Macaca fascicularis: one gene and its partners. The protein of the gene in region 3 purifies or fractionates together with the protein of the main gene of each other region. This does not show direct contact. Links are inferred from orthologs where the notes say so. Each region holds a gene or a part of one and is shown on either strand. Other genes may lie near its edges.

Region 1 (4,125 bases), on a different chromosome or scaffold from region 3:
ATTTCTGTTTCAAGATGACACTGAAAAATTATTCTAATATAACAGCAGCAAAAATGTAATTCTGCAATTATAAAAGTGCAAAACTGAAATTCATAATGAAGGTTTTCTCATGTTTACAATTATGGTTATTTAATCAATACTAATACTATGCAGGTCTGTTGTAAGATTTCTAGATTTGGTTTAAACACATGCACACAATACTGCCAGTTGTGGGAGGCTTTACAAGTTATATTTCATGCAACTTTTTTGAAAGAGTTCTAAAAGAGTCAGCCAGTCCACAAGACAGACAGAAAAAAGTTAAATTAACTGGAGTAAATTGGACTCTTAACATTTAAAGCATGCAAGATTCAGGAGGAAACTGGGAGTACTTTGGGACTGGCCTGCTATCTTCTTTAGTATTAATTTCATCTTAACAGTTTAAGAATTTGAACATTTTAACACCATCAAGTTCATTTAGGTGACGTGTTTCTTGTGTGTTAACTTGACTCCCCTGAATGATCTAGTTAGTGAACTGGAGTCACTAATAATTTGGTCACAAGGCAAATCAAGCCTACACGAAAGGAAGTGAAAACTCAAAATATCATAGTATCATCTGAACCTACTCAAATAATTTATTTTCAATATAAACATGTAACTTCAATAATGAGATGACTCATTAATGAGCCAAGCTCCTCCAACAAGACAACGACAACATCTCTTCTTCTAAGGTTTAGGTTTTGCATAGAAATCCGGATACATGGAACAGCCCATACCAACAGTCATTGCTCCTACAACAAAGCTGGACTGCCACACGCATGTGGATCAGGTGATGCGATATTTTACTATTTCCCCTGCTCTTCAATTTGTATAATCCATATGCAGCAACTACTGCAAAACCTGCCATTCCAATGAGGACAAATGGTGCCTCTTTAGCTTTACAAATCAGTTTGGATCCCTGGAATCCCTTACAAGTCATCCAGCTTCGCCCACGGATATTTTTAGGAATGGCAACGGTGACCAGAGATCAGAGGATTGTAGGAAGAGAGGGCGAATAGAGTAAGTTCGCTAGCTTTCAGATTCACATCTGTTCCTGAGGCTTCCTCCCTGCCCCCACCCTTCCTTCTTCAATCAGGCTAAGAGCTCCTGGAGAAATGGAACACCTGATTCAGTGAGGGTGACAAATAATTATGAGTATATTCGTGCCTGGGTCCTGGGTAGAATGGGGTGGGTGAGGTCAAGCCATCTTGGCTGGCTGGCCAAGCTCCGAACAGCAGGGGGCGCTGTAGGGGAAGTCCCGCCGGGTGCGCCGGGCGCTCTGGCACTAGGGTGCCGGTCGTCTCCTCCGCAGCTTCCGGCACGGCCTTCGAGCGCGGGACGCGGCAAAGTCATGGATCGCAACCCCTCGCCGCCGCCTCCGGGTCGCGACCAGGAGGAGGAGGAGGTGGCCGGTGGAGACTGCATAGGGAGCACGGTTTACAGCAAACACTGGCTCTTCGGCGTCCTCAGCGGACTCATCCAGGTGTGGAAACTCGCGCCACGCGTGGGCTCTTCCCACATCCCCCAGGCACCCGGGCTCCGCCTCTGGCGGCTCCTCCTGCTCCGGGAGCCGCCATCCCCACAAAGACCCCTCCCCAGGCGTGCGCTGCGGGACCTCGCTTGTTGCGTTTCGCCGGCCGCTGCGGACCCCAGAACTATCTGGGGCCCCTCGGGGTCTCTCGACACAAAGGGAAGTATAATGTTAGGGATGCTGGAATACTTGGGGTTCTATTGTAGTTTCGCAAGTTCTCCAAAAATACACGATCGTGTAACTGCATTGCTCGGGTTTTGCTCCCCATCCCCACTGTCATTTCTGAAGCCCAGGTCCTTAGTTTATATATTTCATGGACTATAGTTGTAATATAATAAATGGTGATTTTAGGGTTATACAACTTTTATATAAAAAACGTGGCTTCTGACTAGGCGCGATGGGTCACGTCTGTAATCCCAACACTTTGGGAGGCCGAGGCGGAAAGATCGCTTGAGCCAGGAGTTCGAGACCAGCCTGGGCAACATAGAACTGGTTTCTACAAACTTAAAAAAAGCCGGTCGTGATGGTGCACACCTGTAGTCCCAGCTACTCAGGAGGCTGAGGCTGGAGGATCGTTTGAGCCTGGAGTTGGAGGCTGCAGTGAGCTGTGATCCGGCTACTGCACTCCAGGCTGGGGGACAGAGGGAGACCCTGTCTCAAAAAAACAAAAAACACAGCTTCATTACCCACTAGCTGCAGGTCACCTAACGGCTCAGAACCTCTATTTCTCTCTTAATTTCTATAAAATGGGATTATAATATTTATATTATTATATATAGGGTCATTGTGTAGGTTAAGTGAGATTATAATGGCCATAGAGTGCTTAGCATGGTGTTTGACTTATAGGAGGCTGTCAGTAAATGTGGGTTTTCTTCTCCCCATGTTTCCCTCATTGGTTCCTCTGCTTCTCTTCTCTATCCTCTCCAGTTAATTTTCTACACAGCTGCCAGAATAATCTTTAAAGACATCGCTATTCATGACACTGCTTAGTTCCCTTTGCATAGGAGAAAAATGCATATTTCTTGAAGCTTGGGATCCAGGGCTGTGTATACGTTTTCCAGCCTCATCTTCTCGTGATACACTATGTTCCATCAACAGCGAACTGTTCACCATCCCCAAACATGCTAGGCCCTCTCTCAACTCTGAACTCTTGTACTTTCCTCTGAATACTCACTTCTCTCCTTCTTCACATGACAAACTACTATTCTTCCTTTAAAATTTAGCTTAAATATCAACACCTAAGAGAAAGTTCCCCATCTTCTCCCAGGAATAGGTCATTGGTCCATCATTTTTGCTACCACAATTTTTTGTCCACAATTCATTTGAATCACTTTGCCTTTTTTTTTTCTTTTTTTTTTTTTGAGACGGAGTCTCGCTCTGTCGCCCAGGCTGGAGTGCAGTGGCCGGATATCAGCTCACTGCAAGCTCCGCCTCCCGGGTTCACGCCATTCTCCTGCCTCAGCCTCCCCAGTAGCTGGGACTACAGGCGCCCGCCACCTCGCCTGGCTAGTTTTTTGTATTTTTTTTTAGTAGAGACGGGGTTTCACCGTGTTAGCCAGGATGGTCTCGATTTCCTGACCTCGTGATCTGCCCGTCTCGGCCTCCCAAAGTGCTGGGATTACAGGCTTGAGCCACCACGCCCTGCCCACTTTGCCTTTTCTAATATGACTATCCCTTTACATGTCTTTCCCCACTAGATCCTAAAAGTTAAAAAAAAAAAAAATCTTAAAAGTAAGGGATTATATCTAACTCGTCTTTGTATATCTACCCCAGTGCCTAGCAACAGTATTTACTTTGTGAATGTTGAAAGAATAGATCTACCCAAGGCACTAAGTTTTTAAAAGAAGATTTTTGCAAGAGAAGATACTTTGCTGGTAGCTTCTTTGTGTCTTCTAAACAATTATGGGTTATTATTAAAGTAAGTCCTCACTTAACATCAGTAGGTTCTTGGAAATTGTGACTTGAAGCAAAATTACTGATAATGAAACCAATTTTACATAGCTAATTGATATAAACAAGAGTTAAGTTCCTGTGGCATATTTCTGGACAGAAGAACATCACCAAACTTCTAAATGAGGACCCAAAACATGTCTAGTATTAAATATTGAAATAAATGTGAGCTATAAATACATTTAAGAAAGGTTAATAAAAACAAGAACTATTTACCTAATTTTGGTGAGTTAGTGAGTGATGGTGGTTGTAGTGATTATCACTACAACTTTTATTCTTTGATTATGTTAAATCAAGGAATAAATGTTTACAAAGCAAAAATGACCACCTCTTACTACCGTACAGTCCAAAAACAAAAAAATAAGGCAGGCTTACTGAGCACATTCCTACCACATAATTATTGTCGTACATCTCCATGATTATTGTCTTCTTTACAGATTTTTGTTTTATAATAATTTGTATTCATCCATTTCCCAACCCAATTGCTCTGGTTCAGAGTTGAGGGTGGCTGGAGCCTAAACCAGCAGCTCAAGGTGCAAGGCAGAAACCAGCCCTGGACAGGATGCCATCCCATCACAGGTACACACACACCCACACTCACTCAGATCGGGACCATTTAGACACACCAG
Region 2 (4,274 bases), on a different chromosome or scaffold from region 3:
TTTTAAAGATTGAAACATCCAAATGACTCCAGAAATCATGTTGCATTTTCAGAATAGAAAGAAACACCTTACTCTAGGCTTTAAACTTCACTGACTAGCAATGAGTGTGGGGAAAAAAGTTTTAATTAGAACATCCAAATGCCTTAATATGCTTTTATCTTAGGAGGGAGAGAAAAAAATCTCTGAAACCAATTTGAAAATGCAACCAGGATCATAACTCATTTAAAAATATTTGGCTATAAAAATACATATATTTTTAAGTGAAATAATGAACACGTTAGTCAATTACAATTCATATTGACTTCAGAAAGCTCTACTATTAAATCATAAACTGAGAACCTGGGTATGGGAAGGTAGTGATATAAAAAAGAAAGAGTTAAAAATAGACAACACCATAGCCCTCTGCTTGAGACAAAATAGAGCACATTCCTGATTTCCACTCAATGTTAAAAACACAAGCATAGAGAACCTGATCTTCTCAATACTAATATTCAGCCACAAAGCACTTATCTCATAAATATTACTTAAGTTCATTCATTTACTTCCCTATTTAATAAACACTGTAGCACTGATTACCTGGCAGTTAAGGGTGTTGAAAAGTCAGTCAGAAAAACAGAAACACATTCAACAGATAAAAATTCAGCTCAAATACAGTTTTAAAAATTGCTTATTTTATATTTGCATCAATGCATTCATAATACTCTCCTCACATATCTCAAACACGGTCTGAACAAATTTTCCTAAAAGCTGCAAGTCGATACTTTAAAATCCATTTTAGTGATGGAAAAAATAGATGTAGTAATTGTTCCTATCTTTAGACTAGTGGTACACAGACTTACTACTTCTGTGTATACACAATGTTTTTCACTTTCAAACCCTACCTTTGGAAAGAAATACAGAGAACATAAATTTTTCTTCTAATATTGCTTCCAAATGAGTTTCATGAATACAGTGTAAATCTAATTATAAATATTATTTGAGCACAAAAAGATCACTATTGCTACCTGCATTTCTAGGCATTGGATAATGTGGCCTACTGAAGCATAAAAATAAAAATCCCAGCAGTGCCAAGGCTCGCTATGCACCTGAAATAAATAAACCTCTTTAGAATACAAATTTCTCACCTGTAAAATCCGGATCAATCATACCGATTGTCAGTGTTATAAGGAATAACAGATTAAATACAATAGGCTGAAAAAAAACCTCAAAATACTGCACAGAAACACCCGGTGTATGCTTCAGCACAAGGATCCTAACCACCCCCGGAAAATGAACCCTCCACCAAAAAAGGACCTCCCCTCCACCTCATTGATTATGCATAAAACATTAGGCCACCTCCAAACTGTTTAATATATTAACATAAATAGAGCACGTGACCCCTCGAGTGTCAAATCCTTATTAGGTGATTATGGATTTTGGCCTTGGTTACCTTTAAAGTTCTTGATCACTAACTTCTTAGCAGAGCCAGGCTTGCTGTTAGCAAAGCTAGAGACGGTGGTAGAAGATTTGGCTAGGCCGTTTGCATGATGCACCGAAGCCACAGAAGAGATTAATATACTCTTATTTTTAAGTTGCTGCTGCTGAGATGTTGCAGCAGTTGGTGAAGATGAGGAGGAGGAGGAGGAGGATTCCTCAGCCATCTTCGCATCAAACCCTACAAACTCCAGGGTGTCTTCAAAACGCAGCTTCTTCTGTATCGGTACGTGGCTGGAAGCAGCCACTGAAACCCCCAGGCAGAAGGACGAGGTTGAAGGGGATGCCGAATCCCTGGGTTGTAAAGGAGGAGTGGAAGAGGAGGAAGAGGTGGAATCAAAGTCTTCTCTCTCGTTACTACTGTTACTGCTGCTACTGCTGCTGCTGTTTAACTTTCTCTTCTTGGCAGAGGTGGGCGGAGTGGTGCTGGTATTACCATCAGTGGCAGATCTGACCTCCTGAGCAGCAGCAGCAGCTGAGGGACTGGGGGAAGAAAAACCTGTTGGAAACATGAAAATAGCGGGGTCAACAGGCAGAGGAGCATCAAAAACCTACGTTTATATGCCTGCGTGCGTGTAGGAGAGAAGGTGGCAATGCTAGAGGGGGAAGGGAAGAAAGAAGAGAGGAGAAACACAGAGGACGAGAAGGAAAGTGAAGGCGGGGGGGGCTACACCGGGGGAATGGGAGGGTTTGGGAAGGCGGATAGGCTGACACCAGGAGTGAGCAGAACGAGGGGGGAGAGCGAATGAGGAGGCAGACAGGTAAACGGCCGTGCCGTCCCCCTCCCCTGCTTTTCGATCTCTCTCCCCCCCTTTCTGCAGGAGCGACTCAGCGAGTCTGTGAGGCTGCAGCTCCTCCTCCTTTTCTCCCTCTCCCTGGGAGGGGAGAGGCTGTGGTTGGGGGAAAGGGGGAGGGGGAAAGAACCAGGGCTTGTTATTGTCAATAGCACAAGAGGCTAAAGATGGCGCCATTTCCGGTCACGCGGCACCGAGGGAGGGGCGGTGCCAACCTCAGGGATTGGGGGTGAGGGAAGCGCTGCAGCCGCCCGGGGGGCGGGTGAGCTCGCGCGTGAGGGGGCGGCTGGGAAGGGGCGGCTAAAGTGCCCCAGACGCTCGCGTTAGTTCGCTCCGGCTCCCGCTCTCCTTCGCGCTCCCCCTTCCTGGCAGCGCCTTCCTTCCCTGGCCCACCGGGGACTCCCACTCGCTCCTTAACGGTCCCGCGGGAAGCTCCGCGCCGCAGCGCCCTTACCGGAAGTGACTGGGCAGACACTTTTCATAGCGCCCAGATCCCGAAGCCCCCAGGCCCGCAGGACTTGAGTTGGGGGGGGAAGGGGGGAGGGAGAAATTGGGGGGAAGAAAAGTGGATGGGAGGAGGGGGCGGGCCTTCGAGACACCTTCGGAGCTCCTGATTGGAGCTTTCTGAAGGCGAGGGGGTGGGGGGGGGGTGGCGGGAGGAACGGGGAGGAGCGGGAAGGAGCCTCGGGGAGGGAAGGTAGTGACGGCGAGGGGCGGAGTGAGCTAGCTGGGAAAACGGAGGAGGAGGAAGAGGAGGAGAGAGGGAGGGACGAAATAAAATGTAAAGGTCCGGGAGAATGGAAACTTTGAAAGAGATAAAGGAATAAGGAGTGGTTGCAAGGCTAGGGGAGTAACCCTAAATAGAGGAAAACATAATCATGCTATTATGCCCGTTACTGGAGAGGAATGTCCCGATGTTAAGATAGGAAAGGAGAAGAAAACGAGCTAAGATAGGAAGAAAAGGACTTTTTGATTCGGTGCCGCTATAAATTGTTTCTCTTTTATCTCAAGGCACCACAGACCCAAGGCTGAATAAGGCCTGAGTTTTGATGCCTTTCTCTTTCATGTAGCTGTAAATCCTTTTATCTTCCTACCAGGAGCATTTTCTAAGCTGGCTGGCCAAATTAAGGGTGTATTCTAAGGCGAAGAAATAGAAAGGTAACTAACCACTCACCCACTGAGCACTGTGCCCAGGACCGTCCTAACCCCCACTCTATCAGTCCTTAACTCTAATTTATAGACCAAAGCTAAGACCCACTTCCTTCTTTTGCCAAATCTCAGCTTACACGCTGTCCCAAAGGAGACATTTTAGAACAATATTGGCAAAAGTTAATGTTTTCTACCAATGTGTTTCATGAGCCCCCGCTTTACATTTGATGACTGATTTTAAAAATCTTTAAATTTAGTTAAATTAGCAACAATCAACCTTGTAAATTCCCTGTTGGGAGTTTTTACTTAACCTTGGGGCATTCTCAGAGGGAGGTAACACAATGTCAAATAGAACTAAATTTGCCAACCTGTTGATCATTCTAACTGCAAAAGCATTCAGTGAGCATGTATGGTAAGACACTATGCAAGGTCTCTGCCCTTGAGAAGCCAGTAAGGGAAGATAGTTTCAAAACTAATTTCCATAACAATACTATGACAGATATACAAAGTGCTGTCAGAAGAGGCAAAACAAGAAATTTGGGGGAAATCTGGAATAGGAATAGTTTTACAGAGATTGTGTTTATGCTGTGCCTCAAAGTGGGAGTTGCCAAAAAGACAAGAGGGAACAGGATGAAAGGCATTTTGGGGAATGGAAACAAGGGCAAAGCAAGGAGTGAAAGGGCCTGGCCTGTTTATGGAAACATGGAAAGTGCAGTGAGGCTGGGAAGTAGGATGTCTAGCTGGGAGTAAGGAAGATGAGGCTCAAAAGGGCCTGGCACACCAAGCCAAGAATTTGGAGTCTACTCTGTAGGCAATCATAGATAGCAGGGAGACAATCCAGCAAGCAGAGCTTTTACA
Region 3 (4,272 bases):
GTATTCACCAAAGAATTTCTGGGTGACTTCCAACTCTCTCTGTAGCTTTATAACCATCCATCCCCCTTCTCTGGAGCAGAGAAGATGCTTCATGAATATTTGCTGTATCAGTGAAGCCCAACATCTCATTTTACAACACTGGAAACCAGGGCCTGGAGGGGTTAGGTAGGAGCTTAGGGCCAAGGAGTCAGTTTGTGGCAGTGTGTGGGGAGGCCCTCCGACCTGTGGCTTGGGTACTTCTGAGCTCTTGGGTAGAGTAACATCAAGGAAGCATTAGGTGGTTGGAGCTCAACTTTGGGGTGGGAGGTAGGCAGGGTTCTCCCTGCAATCCACTGGGCACTAGATTGGAAAAGGCTGTTCTGGGGTCACAATGCCCAGGCTCAAACCCCGGTTCCACGATTTGCTGGCTGAGTGGCTTTAGCCAAGTCTCCTGTGTCAGACTTTACTCTTCAGTAAAATGTGACCAGTAACAGAGTCTGACTTACAAAGGGCGCAGCGAGATCAATGAGACAAGCCACGTAAGTTTCCTTGAACAGTGCCTGATAGGTAGCAGGGGGCTCAAAAACATTCCCGTTAGTAGAACTCCTAGCACAACTCCTAGCACCCCAGCACAGCACACGCTACCCCCAGTAGCAACTTTTCGGGACCCGCCTTTTAAAGGCGCGTGCAAAATGGCAACACGTGGGGTATGGCAGGAGCGGTAGTAATAATTAACATACATTCCCAGTTACGAGCCACACGCAACGTGCTCGGCATTTCCCGTGCCCCAACCCGGCCTAGTTTACGACTTCCCACGCACAGGCCCCTCTGAGGTCAGGGTTCGGGCTTCACTGTGACCTTGGACCAGTCCCGTTCCCCCGAGAGCTTCGGTTTTCTCATTCGCAAAACACGAGTGGCGACCCCCCAGCCTGCCCGCCTCCGAGTGTCCCAGGGTGGGCAACCGGGCCGCGCCTCGGGTGGCCCGCGCCTGCGGCGTGGTAGCGGGGCGCCGGGGCCCGCGTGTCTCCCGCAGGCCCTCGTAGGCCGGTCTCCATGGCAGCCCGCCCTCCCTACCTTCCTGCCGGCAATAGGACATGGCTGCAGCCCGTCCCTGAGACCTTGCAGAAGCGGCAGTGGCGGTAGCTGCAGCTTTACGCCGTGACCTCCTCTCCTCAGGCAGTGCGGGCGCCTCCGAAGCCCGCGCGGACCCGCCCCCTCCAGGCCTGCCCGCCGCGCGCCTGCCTCGGCGCCCTCTTAACCGCGGCCAGGCCCACCTCAGCCGGAAACTACATTTCCCAGCAGGTCGCGAGCCCCACAGCAGCTCGCCAGGCAGTAGAAACTACATTTCCCAGAAAGCTTTGCAGTGCGCAGGCGCATCAATGAGGTACTGTAATGTCCCTGACCCGTTTCCAGGTCTCGCCGCGCGCATGCGCAGAAACACTGGGCACACGGGGCGGTAACTGCAGTAAGTCCCGCCTGGTCTTGGAGTCCACGCGGATTTTCGAAGCTGGGGCTGGCAAGAGGCCGCTGGACTCCGCGCTCCAGTCGTCAGCCCACTTCCTAGCTGAACAGCGCGAGGCGGCGGCAGCGAGCCGGGTCCCACCATGGCCGCGAATGTGAGTGTCCCCTGGCCAGCCGGGCCACACCCAGGCTTCTCCGTCGCCCTGGGGCTCTTCCCCGGGGCCCTCTGGGTCCGTTTCGCCGTCTGGAGCTCCTCCCTGCGGCTGGGCCCGCATCTCCCTCTGCGCGCCGTGTCGGTGCCTTCGCCAGCTCATCCCTCTGTTAATCTCTCGACCCGTCCAGACTTCTTTTGTCCGTGTTCTTTGGTCCGCCTAGTCCTCGGCGTTCGTGCGGAGGCGGACTCGGAGGTGTTGCTCCCGCACTACGATCTGCTTGTACGCCTCTCCGCGGCTCCTCCTTGCATTCCTAGTTCCCTCCTGTATCTTGGGGCCCTGAAGCCGTCCCAAGGTTGCGCATTATGAGAGCTGGACGGGAGCTCAGAGAGGGGGCCATTCCCTTGGGAGGGAGGAAGGCGACCCAGCCCAAGTGGAGCTGTCCAGCAATGGACGGATAGGGCTGTCCAGGCGGGCAGAGAGCTCCCCGCTCTAGGGAGGCTGTGTAAACCGAGGCTGTGATGCTGCAAAAAGCTTAGGCTGGGCTGGGAGCGAAGGAGTTAGGGGGAGAGGGAGCATTTCTCTACTGTCGGGGCCCCTCCTCCTCCTAGCAAGGATTTGGTTGGAGAAGGCCTGGCTGAGGGCTGTTCCTTCAAGGCCTCTTCTCCCTGCAACTAGCCTTTCTCGGGAAACTATTTAAGCCCAACATTCATTCAGCACACCAAGCAGCGCCTCCTACCAGGGCGCTGGATGTGGGAGAAGCTGGTGACTCACTTCTCCCCTCCTCTGTGAAAGTGCTTCTAGGGCCTGCTTAGGAGCCCAGCCAGCCCCAGACACACCCTCCCTCCTGCTTTGGTAGAGTGTCCTAGCAGCTCTCCCCTTGCCTGTCACACCCTATTTCCAGACGCCGCCTCTGTCCCCAAGCGTCCTCTCTGCCTCCCACACCCCTTGAGAGGCCAGGGTGTGCATCACCCACAGTCCTAGTACACTCTGTCTCGGGTTAGTATCATCTACACTCCCAGGACACTTTGGGCCCACAGGAGGGTTAGAAGCCTTGAATGGTGTACCTAGAAAGGCCTCAGAGGTATTCCGAGAGACTCAGGCTCGGCCAGGAGAGAGGGCAGACAGGAGACCAGCCTGTTTGTAGTATGTGGACTCTGTCTGCTCCCATCACCACCACCACCATATTTTACAGATGGTGAACTTCCCCAGCAGGGGAAGGCACCTGCCCAAACTCTTGTGGCCAGCTTGGCATGCTGCAAAGGGCAGGCTTTGGAGTTAGGGAGACCTGGGGGCAATCCAGATTCTTCCACCCAGTAGATGTGTGGCTTTCATCTCTCCAGGTTTATGTAGCCTCATGGATCAGTTACTGTGACATTTAAGGGAGACTGCTTAGCACAGTGCCTGGTGTGTCGTAGGTACCTAATACTTGAAAACTAGCCTGTCATTGCAGAGGGGAGCACAGATGGTCCCAGTGAATAGAGATCGTCTTGGGTACATTGAGACCTGGCCCCTCACCAAGGAACATACATGCATTTGAGTATCCTCTGCTGCCAAGCATTTGTTGATTCATCCAGTAGCTGGGTATACATTTACAGCAGCCACTAGGCTGGGTGAGGAAGAAGATAGTGGGATGGAGTAGGGAGGCAACAGAATTCTCAATCAGTATAGCAGCAGCAGTACCGATGGTGAAGGTACTATTCCCCTCTCTACTTTATAAGTGAGTAAACAGAATCAGAGAGGTAGAGCAATTTACCCAGGCTTCACAGCAAGTGATTGGTGAACCTGGGCATCGAACCCAATTCTGTTCATTTCCAGGGCTTATGTGTCAGCCTCTGTTCCCACCACTCATTGCTCATTTCTTCTGAGTCCTGAGTGCTGGGACTGGGAGGGGATGTGTCACTGGGGATGTCTGTGTGTGTGTGTGTGTTTACATTTGTGTGTATACATGTAATATATATGTATATATAAATATGTGTGTATATATAGATCCTTTATGATCCTCCATGTTTACTGGGAATTTTGGTTCAGAATGTGGGCTGGGTATGTCATGTCACTGCCTACCTCATCCCTCCCCTAGCCTGAGGGGCACCCTCCTGTACCTCTCTTCCTTCCCTCCAAGGCTGTCTTTGAGCCCCTTATCTTGATGCTGGCTGAGGGGACGCCCAAGAGGAAGCCACACCTCCTTTTCCTGTTGCTGCCTACAGCCGGCACCCAACATTCAACTCACATTGTAGCCCAAGAGATGGGGAGCACAGACTGGAATGAGTAATAGGAGAGTAGTCTCCAGTCTGCCCAGATGTGAATCCTAACTCTTCCTCTTAGAAACTGTGTGATCTGGGAAGATGACTTAACCCCAAGCCCGATTTTCTTATCAGTGAAATGGGGTGGTTATGGCATCCAGCTCTTTGGGCTTGCGTGTGGGCTGGCCTGTGATAGACCGGCGTGTTTGCCATTGTCATCATTATGATGGTCACCTGCCTGCCTGTGGTGATTCCCTCCCCTAATGTTTCCAAATTGTATAGAAGGTCAAGATGACTTCTGGATTCATGGACATCTGGTCACTGGAGGCCTTGGCTGGTGATATTCAAAGACAATCAGAACGTGACATCAGCTTTGTCCAAGCAGAGACTCTGACTCAAATCACTCCTCTGGCCCCTAGTGCCAGGATGGGGCACTG
Region 4 (4,024 bases), on a different chromosome or scaffold from region 3:
GGGAGGCCCTGGATGCGGAAGTCTCAATGCAGCAAATTACAGACCTAGTTCTGTGCCCTTATGAAGCACCCCTCTCCCTAAGGGCGCCCTCCACTCCCAAGCGGGGGCGGGGATCGGCAAAGGATCCAGATCATTCGGCCTGCGGAAGTCTAAAGAGCCATTTAGACACCCGCCTAAGAACCTGAAACTACCAGGACCGAACGCAGTCAAAATCCCTGGGGAGCAGTGAAGAATTCACACGCTGGGGCCCACACCTCGGGACGCTCGCATTAATCTAAGGCGGGGCGTGGAAATCCTTACGTTACCAAAAGCAGATTTAGAGGCCGAGCCTCTGTAACTACCTCTCCTGTCCCAGCACTGCTTCTACCTCCCCATCTCTCCGCCCCTGCAACCCTTCCCAGACCAAAGGGAGAAACGCTCTTTCCCGGTTCCAGGCTGCCAACCTTGCAGAACCGCAGCCAAAGGTCACGCAGGCCAGGGGCGCCCCCCCGGATCTGCCACGCCCCCCGGCCAGGCTGGCCGCGTCGGCGTCGCAGCCCAGCACCCGTACCTTTCCCGATGACTTCCAGCAGCTCCTTCTCCTCCTGGGTCAGCTCGCCTTTCTTTATGTGAACCATTGCTCCCGCCAGCTTGAAGGTTATTCTGTTTCTTAGGAAGTATTAAAAAAGAAAAGATGCGTCTGTATTGGGAACGCCAGCCGCAATGAGGCAACTTGAGACCAAGACACTGAGTAGCCAACCGCGGAAACGCTGCGCTTCTCTCCTCCCTCCCGCGGGCGGGCGGACAGCGGGCGAGCTCGGGCGAGCCAGGCTGGAGGTCTCTGCAGGCCCAGCGGCAGTCACCGCCCGCCGCCTGTCATTGGCCCGGCCGAGGAGGAGGAGCCGCAGGAGGTGGCAGCAAGAGATCACCATTGGAGAAACCGGGGAGGGAAAAACCAAATGCAGAAAGCTGGAGGGGGGAATTAAATTGCTCTTATACGTTCCGCACCCCTATCCTGTCCGGTTCAAATATTTCGCCACACGCAATATTGAAAATGCTACATCTGGCAGTTCTGTGCTCAGCGACGGCTTTTTGGGGCGTGCAGAGGTTCCCGGTTGTCGCCGTACCCCCACTATACCCCCAGGAGTGGCGTGGTCTGGGCAGGGGCGGTCTGGGAGGCGGGGGCGGTACGGGAGGCGGGGCTGCGCCGGGTTCCGTGTGTCTATGTCAATGTGTCTGTCCTTCACTCCTCCATTGTCTGCTGCCGCTGCTGCCGCTGCCGCCGCTGCCGCTGCACGAATCGCCGCAGTCCCCAGCCTTGCGCGTCGTCGCTACCTCCTCGGACAGGTGAGAAGCAGCCCAGGTGAGACAAGGGGTGCCGGGAGGGTTGCGAGAGCAGCGACTGCCGCCCCGCCGGGGCTTCCATCGGGCCGGAGCTGGCGGGGAGGAAGCATGTGCCTCCTGGGGCGGCTTCCTGCCTCGCGGTGGAGAAGCCCCCGCTCCACCTCATCATCACCGCGCTTACGGGGTGTCAGTGACCTGGGATGAAGACCTCCGACTCGCAACGTTTGGCCGCCCCGGGAGACCCTGGGACCGCAGGCGGGCGGGTGGGGGCCAGCCACGCGGTGAGAAGTGGCGGGTGCACATGGTCTCGTGCGTGGCACCGCCAGACGCGGCTCCCGGGGAGGCTGGGGCCAGGGCTCTGGGCTAGGGGTCGGGAGGAGAGCGCCCCATTACTAGCGAGTCAGTGAGGACAGACTCGGGAGAAGGTAGTTTTTACGTTGGTAATCCTCGCCCTCCCCACTACTTGTCATCTCTTTGGCCTCTGTGGAAGCTGTAGAAGAAAACCGGAGCTGATCGCCTAATGTTGCTTGTTAACGATGTTTGGAAACAATTTACACTTGCACTAATACTTCGTTTATGAGAGACAGCCTGGGGGAGGAAAGGGCTTCTTTGCTCTGCTAGAGTTCTTGGTTCTCTTTGTAACTCAGATCTTGAGATTTATGGAAATACGGAGTGGAGGGTGGGGAGGTTGGAGAGGGCGGAGATTAAATTGGTGTTGCTGCCTATATATAGCCTTAGATTAGCCTCTTAATCCAACCTTCATTCAACTGTAATATGTAGCCTGGAGCTTCAACCATAGGTAGATGGGGATAAATACAAGTGTGTACTCAGAAATAACATTTGCTTGCTAAAATGTGGGAATCAGTGATTTCTCCAGGGTACGCATTTATATTTACATCATCAATGAAAGTTTCTTTGAAAATTCGTGTTTATGTTTTACTGTTGTTTCCCTACAGAGTAGTATTGATGTTTCTCTCAATATGTGTGTCAAAGAGACATGTATGTGTCAAAGAGAAATATTTGAATAATTATGTAGGTGGTTTTTGTTAAGCATCCCCAGGACCACTGTTTCTTCTCATAGTGCCATACAAAAAGCGAAATCCATTTTCCTCTGGCCTTAGGCGTTTATTTTGTGTGAAGCTTTCACTAACACATCTGAAATCTCCTGGAGTATGTTTATCATTATTTCCTGCCTTTAGCAAAAATCTTTCCTAAACTCCAGCTGTTTTTGCCCCCTAAAGCTTCAGCTTCAAAGGCTGGGACAGATCTGAGCCAGAACATCTTACATGAAAATGGTTTGAAATTATTCATCTCAGTGTATAACAAAGATACTTTTGTTGGATGATGCTTTAATAATGATGTGGCTGTTCAGGCAAGTAGTAAGGCTTCTGAGAGTGACCGATCTTTTGTAATGCTGTTAGTTCCAGAGTTACAATTGATTTATAATACAGTATCATGCGGAAGAAACCCACAAACCTAAAAAAACGCGTGAGTAGTAACCTCCTGGAACATGTGATTTAGCATCTTACCAGCAGATGCATACACAGAATTGGGTACTTCATTGCTAGTATTTCCATCTCTTGTGCCAAATCTGGGCCATGGTTACTTGAAGGTCACACCTGTTTGTCTCACTGGGGTTGTCAGTTCCTCGAGGATAGCAACTAACTATTTTCTTGATGCCTTATGACACTTGTTTGGTATTTAGTGCTCTCTGAATACATGACCAGTGAATTTAGAGACAATAACATTGAAAGAGAATCTAACATCTACCTAGAAATGCAGATAAATCATGTTCAGTTTACATTTCTAGAAACAGATTCATAATGGGTACTTTTCATTAGATGGATTGATCACATTAGTAGTTGTATGGTGTAAATATTTAATGTAGGAATAAGATTAGATAATGAGCATATTAAAATAGATTCACATCAAAGAAGTTTTATTGATAATAAGATGGCTACTTCATATTGAGTATTTAGTCTGTGCTAGATATTCTACCAGATGCTTTGCATATAATTATTCTATTGTTATGACAACTCAGGAATTAGCCAATTTTATCCCCACTTCTGCAAATAAGAGGACAGAAACTAAGGGAAATAGTTTGTCCACAACCCCATATTAGGAAGTGTCAGAGTCAGAATTGGAATAATGATTTCTGAAATGTGTGAAATGTATGTGTCCTCTCGTATCTTTTTCTACTACTACCACTCTAGACCTATTGCAATGCATCTTAAGTAGCCTGCTTCTCTCTCACCTGTCTCTGTCTAGCTAATTCAGGGAACTACCAGTTCAATAAACATTGAGCACCCATCATTCTGTGAATGGCTCTCCTCTGGCCACAGAATAGAGGGCTGGGTCTGGCCTGGAAGGTTCCCAACCATCCATGGTCTCAGCAGGCATTTCCAGTCATCTGGGCCCTCCCACACACTGAGCTCTAAGGTCACCACTCTGCTGGTTCCCCAACCTGCCGGTAATTTCCACCCCTTTGTTCCTGCTTTTCTCCTTCTCCGAATGACTTCCCTTCCCTTTTCACTGAATCTCCTCTCCAGATCTGATGAACTATTCAACTTTTCAGACATAATTTAAACAAAAACTCTTTTCTTCAGCTTTTGTGTTCATCTCTCTCTCTCTCTGTCCAGTAAGGGAAATATACGTGCTAGTAAATACATTTATTCATGTCTCTTGGCAAGGGTTATAAGTA
Region 5 (4,011 bases), on a different chromosome or scaffold from region 3:
AAAGCATCCTGCAGTGCTCAGCCACAGTGACCATTCTGACCTCTCAGCACAGTAAGAGCTCAGGCCCCTTGTACTTTTCAGAACTACAGTACATCTTACCTCTCAAGCTGCCATTTGTAACTATTTCCGCCCTCCCTTCCCATCTTCTTTAATCTCCACAGTCCCCTTCCTCATTATCCCACCCACGGAATCCATGTTACCTGGTTCCCTTTACTTCTTTCTGGCAAACTATGCTCCTTTATGACTCACTCCTTCCCTAGTTGCATAAATGGCTCTGCCTCCCTAAGCCTTCCTTGACGGCTCCTCCCCACCTGATCCCTCCCTTCCGTGATTCCCTTTTATTCTGAGCAACCGAGTACATTAATCTATTTGTATTAGTTTACCTGTTCCAACTTCTCCATGCACAAATCCCTGAATCTGCCATGCCTTTCTCACTCCTGAAGTCTGTCCCCTCTGCTTGAAATGTCCTCTTCTTTGCCTCCCTTCTAAACTCTGCCTTATCTTTCCACACAAAGCACAAATGTCATCCTGACCCTAAGGCTTGCTTCCATCACCTCAAAGACAGATTAAATCTAATAGAACTTTGTTCACCTTTATTAAATTATGGGTTTTTTGCCCGTGTCATAGCAACAGCTAGTACTCATGTGTCACACACCTGAGAACTTTGTATATAGTAACTCATTAAATCTCACAACACCCTATGCTATTATCTCCAATTTAACCTGCCCAAGTTCATAGCTAGTCAGCGGAGCAACTAGGATTTGAACCCACATAGCATGGCTCTAATCAAATGCTACACCACCTCTCCACCCAGAAAACTCCACCTGCAGATCAGGTAACCTTTGTTCTAGAACGGCACTCAGATCTCTTGGCATCCCAAATGTCTGGCACACAGCAGGAGATCACTAAATGTGTTCTGAATTTAACTGAAATTCGTTTAGCATGCATTCCCATGATTTCCTCAAACGTATGTTCTGTCTCCCCAAGCTATCCATGAGATCAAGGGAAAGGACCAGGTCATTTGTTCTCTTCACAGGCACACAATCACAGTGCAAGACAAGAGGTGGGCAACACCCTGTGAGCTCTAGGGGTACAGCTGGAGGAAAACTAATTTTGGATTTAAATGGATCTTGTGTGTGCAACTGACAACGTCTTTTTCACATACCTGATCTCAACAGGTGTTATCAACAATTGAGGTAAGTGGAAGGATGTGAGGAAGATAAGAAAACTAGGTGCAGATTGTTTGAGACCTGGCCAAGACCTCAGAGCTAGAAATATCTCAATGAGATTACAATCCACAGGCTCTGAAAAAAGCACCTGAAAGCCAGCCTCCTGTCCACTGGTGTGGTCCTGGGCAGCTGTGGTCCTCAGGAAAGGGAGAGCCGTTGGGTCAGCTCCTCCCCCAGCAGCCTGGACAGGGGTGGGAGGCTGGTGAGAGGGAAAGGGGAGCCTGGCAGGGTATTCTAGAGAGGAGATCAACTGAGCAGAGGTAAGTCAGGATGTGTTAAGAGCAAGAAAGCAGGTTCGGAAGACTCTGAGGGCTTCTCAAGTGTTTGTTCACCTTTACCAGATGGGACAGAACACCATGAGAGGTGACATGATTTCCTAGTGGTATGATAATATAGATATGAAGAGTCAGGAAAAACTGGCTTATCTTTCCATCAGTTGGAGGTAGTCATTGTTTCCCTATCATTTGTAACTATCCCATTGCGTTTCTAAAAATCTGTATCTTTATTTTATTCTAATTCAACACAACCGCAGATCGAATTTACTCAATGCCGTGTGTAGAGGAAGGATTTTCAGGCTAGGATAAGCTCTGCAGTAGAGAAGCTTTACTTAGTAGAAAAGACAGTGAATTTCTAGACAAAAGACCTGCCCCATCTTATTAACTGGGTGGTCTTCCGCAAGTCTCTTCGACGCCCTGGGTTAATCTCCTCTTCTGTAAAATGGGGATGAAAATGCCCACCTACCCACCTCCAAATGAGTGCTATGACAGTAACTTGCACGAAGGCCTGTGAGCGCCCAGCGTAGGCTTTCTGCGAATCTGAACGGTCTCCAGGGTCTCTGTCTCACGCTCTTCACTATTCAGGAATGAAACACTGCGGATGTCTGCTCAGAAATGTAGGGAGAACCTCCTCCCACAGGGGACCTCCCGCCCCTGCAACTCATGAAGTGAAGTGAAGGCTCGCAGATCGCCAGGCTCTTATTGTAGCCTCGACAGAGGGCGAGGCAGGCTAAACTCCGGGGACGCAACGGGGTGGATCTGGAACCCGAGTTTCTTAGCCCAAGGCATCGAAGGCGTAGGGATTGCTGTTCCCGGCCCGGCCCCTCGCGGTAGCCGCAAAGCGCCACTGGGGGCAAGTCCAGCGGCACGGTCCCCGGCTCGGGAACCACCTCGCTTACCTGCGGCTCCACCAACCATCGCTGCTCGGCGCCGCCGGGCGCAGGGCGCGGGGCGCGGAACGCGGAGTACACGGGGATGCGGTCCCGAGTGCTGTAGAGGGTGGCGAAGCGCTCAGCGCCCTCCGCGCGCTGACAGATCTTCACGTGGGAATCGGTCGCCAGCCCCGCAGGCGGGGTCCCGGCGTAGAAGAACTTGTCACATTCGCCAAAGCCGGCTTCCTCCTCGCCCACGAGCCGGCCTTCCAGCAGCCTAGCCAGGGCGAGGAGGCTGCCCAGCGCGAACCAGCGCGCAGTGCCCATGGCGGCCTCTGCGAGCGCGGCGGGGCCGAGCGGCTAGGCTGCCGCGGCGCGAGCTCTGCGGGCTGGGCGGTGAGCGCGCGACGCAGCCTAGCAGGGTAGGGAAGGGAAGTCGGAACCCAGGCGCCGCGCTCTGCGGAGCCGGGCGGGGCAACCCGGGCGGCGGGGGCGGATCCGCGTCCGGAGGCCGCGCCCCTCTCCCTGAAGATGGCTGCAGAGGCCCAGGGCCGGGCACCGCGTTGCTGACAATGTCCCCTGGGCTGCGCCCGGGACTGGAGAAGCGGGTCACCTGCCGCCGCGCCGCCTGGTCTCAGCAGTCCGCGGGGACGCGCGCTACCAAGAGTGGAGAATCCGAGTGGGGCAGGCCTAGTCCAGGGACTGGGAAGAGATAGTCGCATGGACTGGGCGCCAAGAAGCTTGCTGATCGCGCGCGCCCCACGGCAGCCCTGGGGATGCAGAGGGGTGGCGTGAGATGCTCACGGAGCTGCAGCTGGTTCGGAGTGGATGGGCAGAGTTCCCCTCTGAAATCTTATGAAGATCCTTCTCCCACTCTCCACCGAAGTGCTCAACGGCCAGCACACGCATACAATTTTCTTGCAGTATTTTGTTTTGTTTTTGAGCTCACCAGAAACTCAGAGAGTAAAGAAATACTGTTAAAGGAAGTTCCTGAACTGGGCAGACAGTACAACCCTGTGTGGTTTTCTCGGTGCAAGGGTTAGAAACAAAACCGATACCAAGCAAGGAAGGAGGCCAGCCAACGTCACTGGTCAACAGGTTGGCCAATTCTTTCCTTCATTTATCCCTCTGAATGCCTAGGTGCCAGCCTGAGATAGGCACTGGATTACCACAGGGGTAAACAAGAACAGGGCCCCTGCGGTCACAAAGACAGCCTAGTGGGAAAGCTTGTCACTCACCGAGGAAACATGCTATTAAAGGGATAACTAAAAACTGAACGCAGATCTGTGAGACCCTGACAGCTGCAGGGGTTCAGGATGTAATCCGGGAAGGTTTGCCTGAAGAAATGGCATCCGAGCTGAGACCTGAAGGATGACATTAGGCAAGGAGGAAAACCATGTGCTAAGTGGTCTCCCACAGAAAGAAACATGATGTGTTGGAGGAATTTAAGGAAAGCTAGTGTGGGTAAAGAGCAGAGAACTGCGTGGGGATGATGGGAAGTGGAGCTAAAGGAGGAGGCAAGGGTCGTATTACTCAGGGTATTACAGGCCAGAGGCCTTCAAACACTTTTTGAGAAGGCCCATAATGAGAAAAGTTTCATGAAATAATTCTTATGCTTATGATTGGCATTACAAT

Evidence for each region. Proteins that work in one complex are often made in the same cells at the same time.
Region 1: the proteins of TMEM43 (region 3) and SAAL1 purify together in Homo sapiens (affinity purification with mass spectrometry; 3 studies listed by BioGRID and IntAct, with this or other methods). This does not show direct contact. The link is inferred for Macaca fascicularis from reciprocal best matches to the Homo sapiens genes TMEM43 and SAAL1.
Region 2: the proteins of TMEM43 (region 3) and CUL4B purify together in Homo sapiens (affinity purification with mass spectrometry; 3 studies listed by BioGRID and IntAct, counting the BioPlex papers as one, with this or other methods). This does not show direct contact. The link is inferred for Macaca fascicularis from reciprocal best matches to the Homo sapiens genes TMEM43 and CUL4B.
Region 4: the proteins of TMEM43 (region 3) and BZW2 purify together in Homo sapiens (affinity purification with mass spectrometry; 3 studies listed by BioGRID and IntAct, counting the BioPlex papers as one, with this or other methods). This does not show direct contact. The link is inferred for Macaca fascicularis from reciprocal best matches to the Homo sapiens genes TMEM43 and BZW2.
Region 5: the proteins of TMEM43 (region 3) and ENDOD1 purify together in Homo sapiens (affinity purification with mass spectrometry; 3 studies listed by BioGRID and IntAct, with this or other methods). This does not show direct contact. The link is inferred for Macaca fascicularis from reciprocal best matches to the Homo sapiens genes TMEM43 and ENDOD1.

What each region holds. Positions count from the first base shown.
Region 1 is NC_088388.1:47,667,642-47,671,766, forward strand, and holds the start of SAAL1 (protein SAAL1), read left to right. Parts: upstream 1-1,325; 5' UTR 1,326-1,366; coding exon 1,367-1,498; intron 1,499-4,125. UniProt on the Homo sapiens protein: Plays a role in promoting the proliferation of synovial fibroblasts in response to pro-inflammatory stimuli.
Region 2 is NC_088395.1:126,835,759-126,840,032, forward strand, and holds the start of CUL4B (cullin-4B), read right to left. Parts: upstream 2,801-4,274; 5' UTR 2,750-2,800; coding exon 2,722-2,749; intron 1,973-2,721; coding exon 1,430-1,972; intron 1,326-1,429; exon of another isoform or gene 1,147-1,325; coding exon of another isoform or gene 1,125-1,146; intron 1-1,124.
Region 3 is NC_088376.1:152,388,629-152,392,900, forward strand, and holds the start of TMEM43 (transmembrane protein 43), read left to right. Parts: upstream 1-1,472; 5' UTR 1,473-1,583; coding exon 1,584-1,595; intron 1,596-4,272. UniProt on the Homo sapiens protein: May have an important role in maintaining nuclear envelope structure by organizing protein complexes at the inner nuclear membrane. Required for retaining emerin at the inner nuclear membrane.
Region 4 is NC_088377.1:113,551,651-113,555,674, reverse strand, and holds the start of BZW2 (eIF5-mimic protein 1), read left to right. Parts: upstream 1-1,224; 5' UTR 1,225-1,342; intron 1,343-4,024. Other genes in the region: ANKMY2 (ankyrin repeat and MYND domain-containing protein 2), read right to left, coding at 551-617. UniProt on the Homo sapiens protein: Translation initiation regulator which represses non-AUG initiated translation and repeat-associated non-AUG (RAN) initiated translation by acting as a competitive inhibitor of eukaryotic translation initiation factor 5 (EIF5) function.
Region 5 is NC_088388.1:94,102,287-94,106,297, reverse strand, and holds the start of ENDOD1 (endonuclease domain-containing 1 protein), read right to left. Parts: upstream 2,801-4,011; 5' UTR 2,704-2,800; coding exon 2,404-2,703; intron 1-2,403. UniProt on the Homo sapiens protein: May act as a DNase and a RNase. Plays a role in the modulation of innate immune signaling through the cGAS-STING pathway by interacting with RNF26.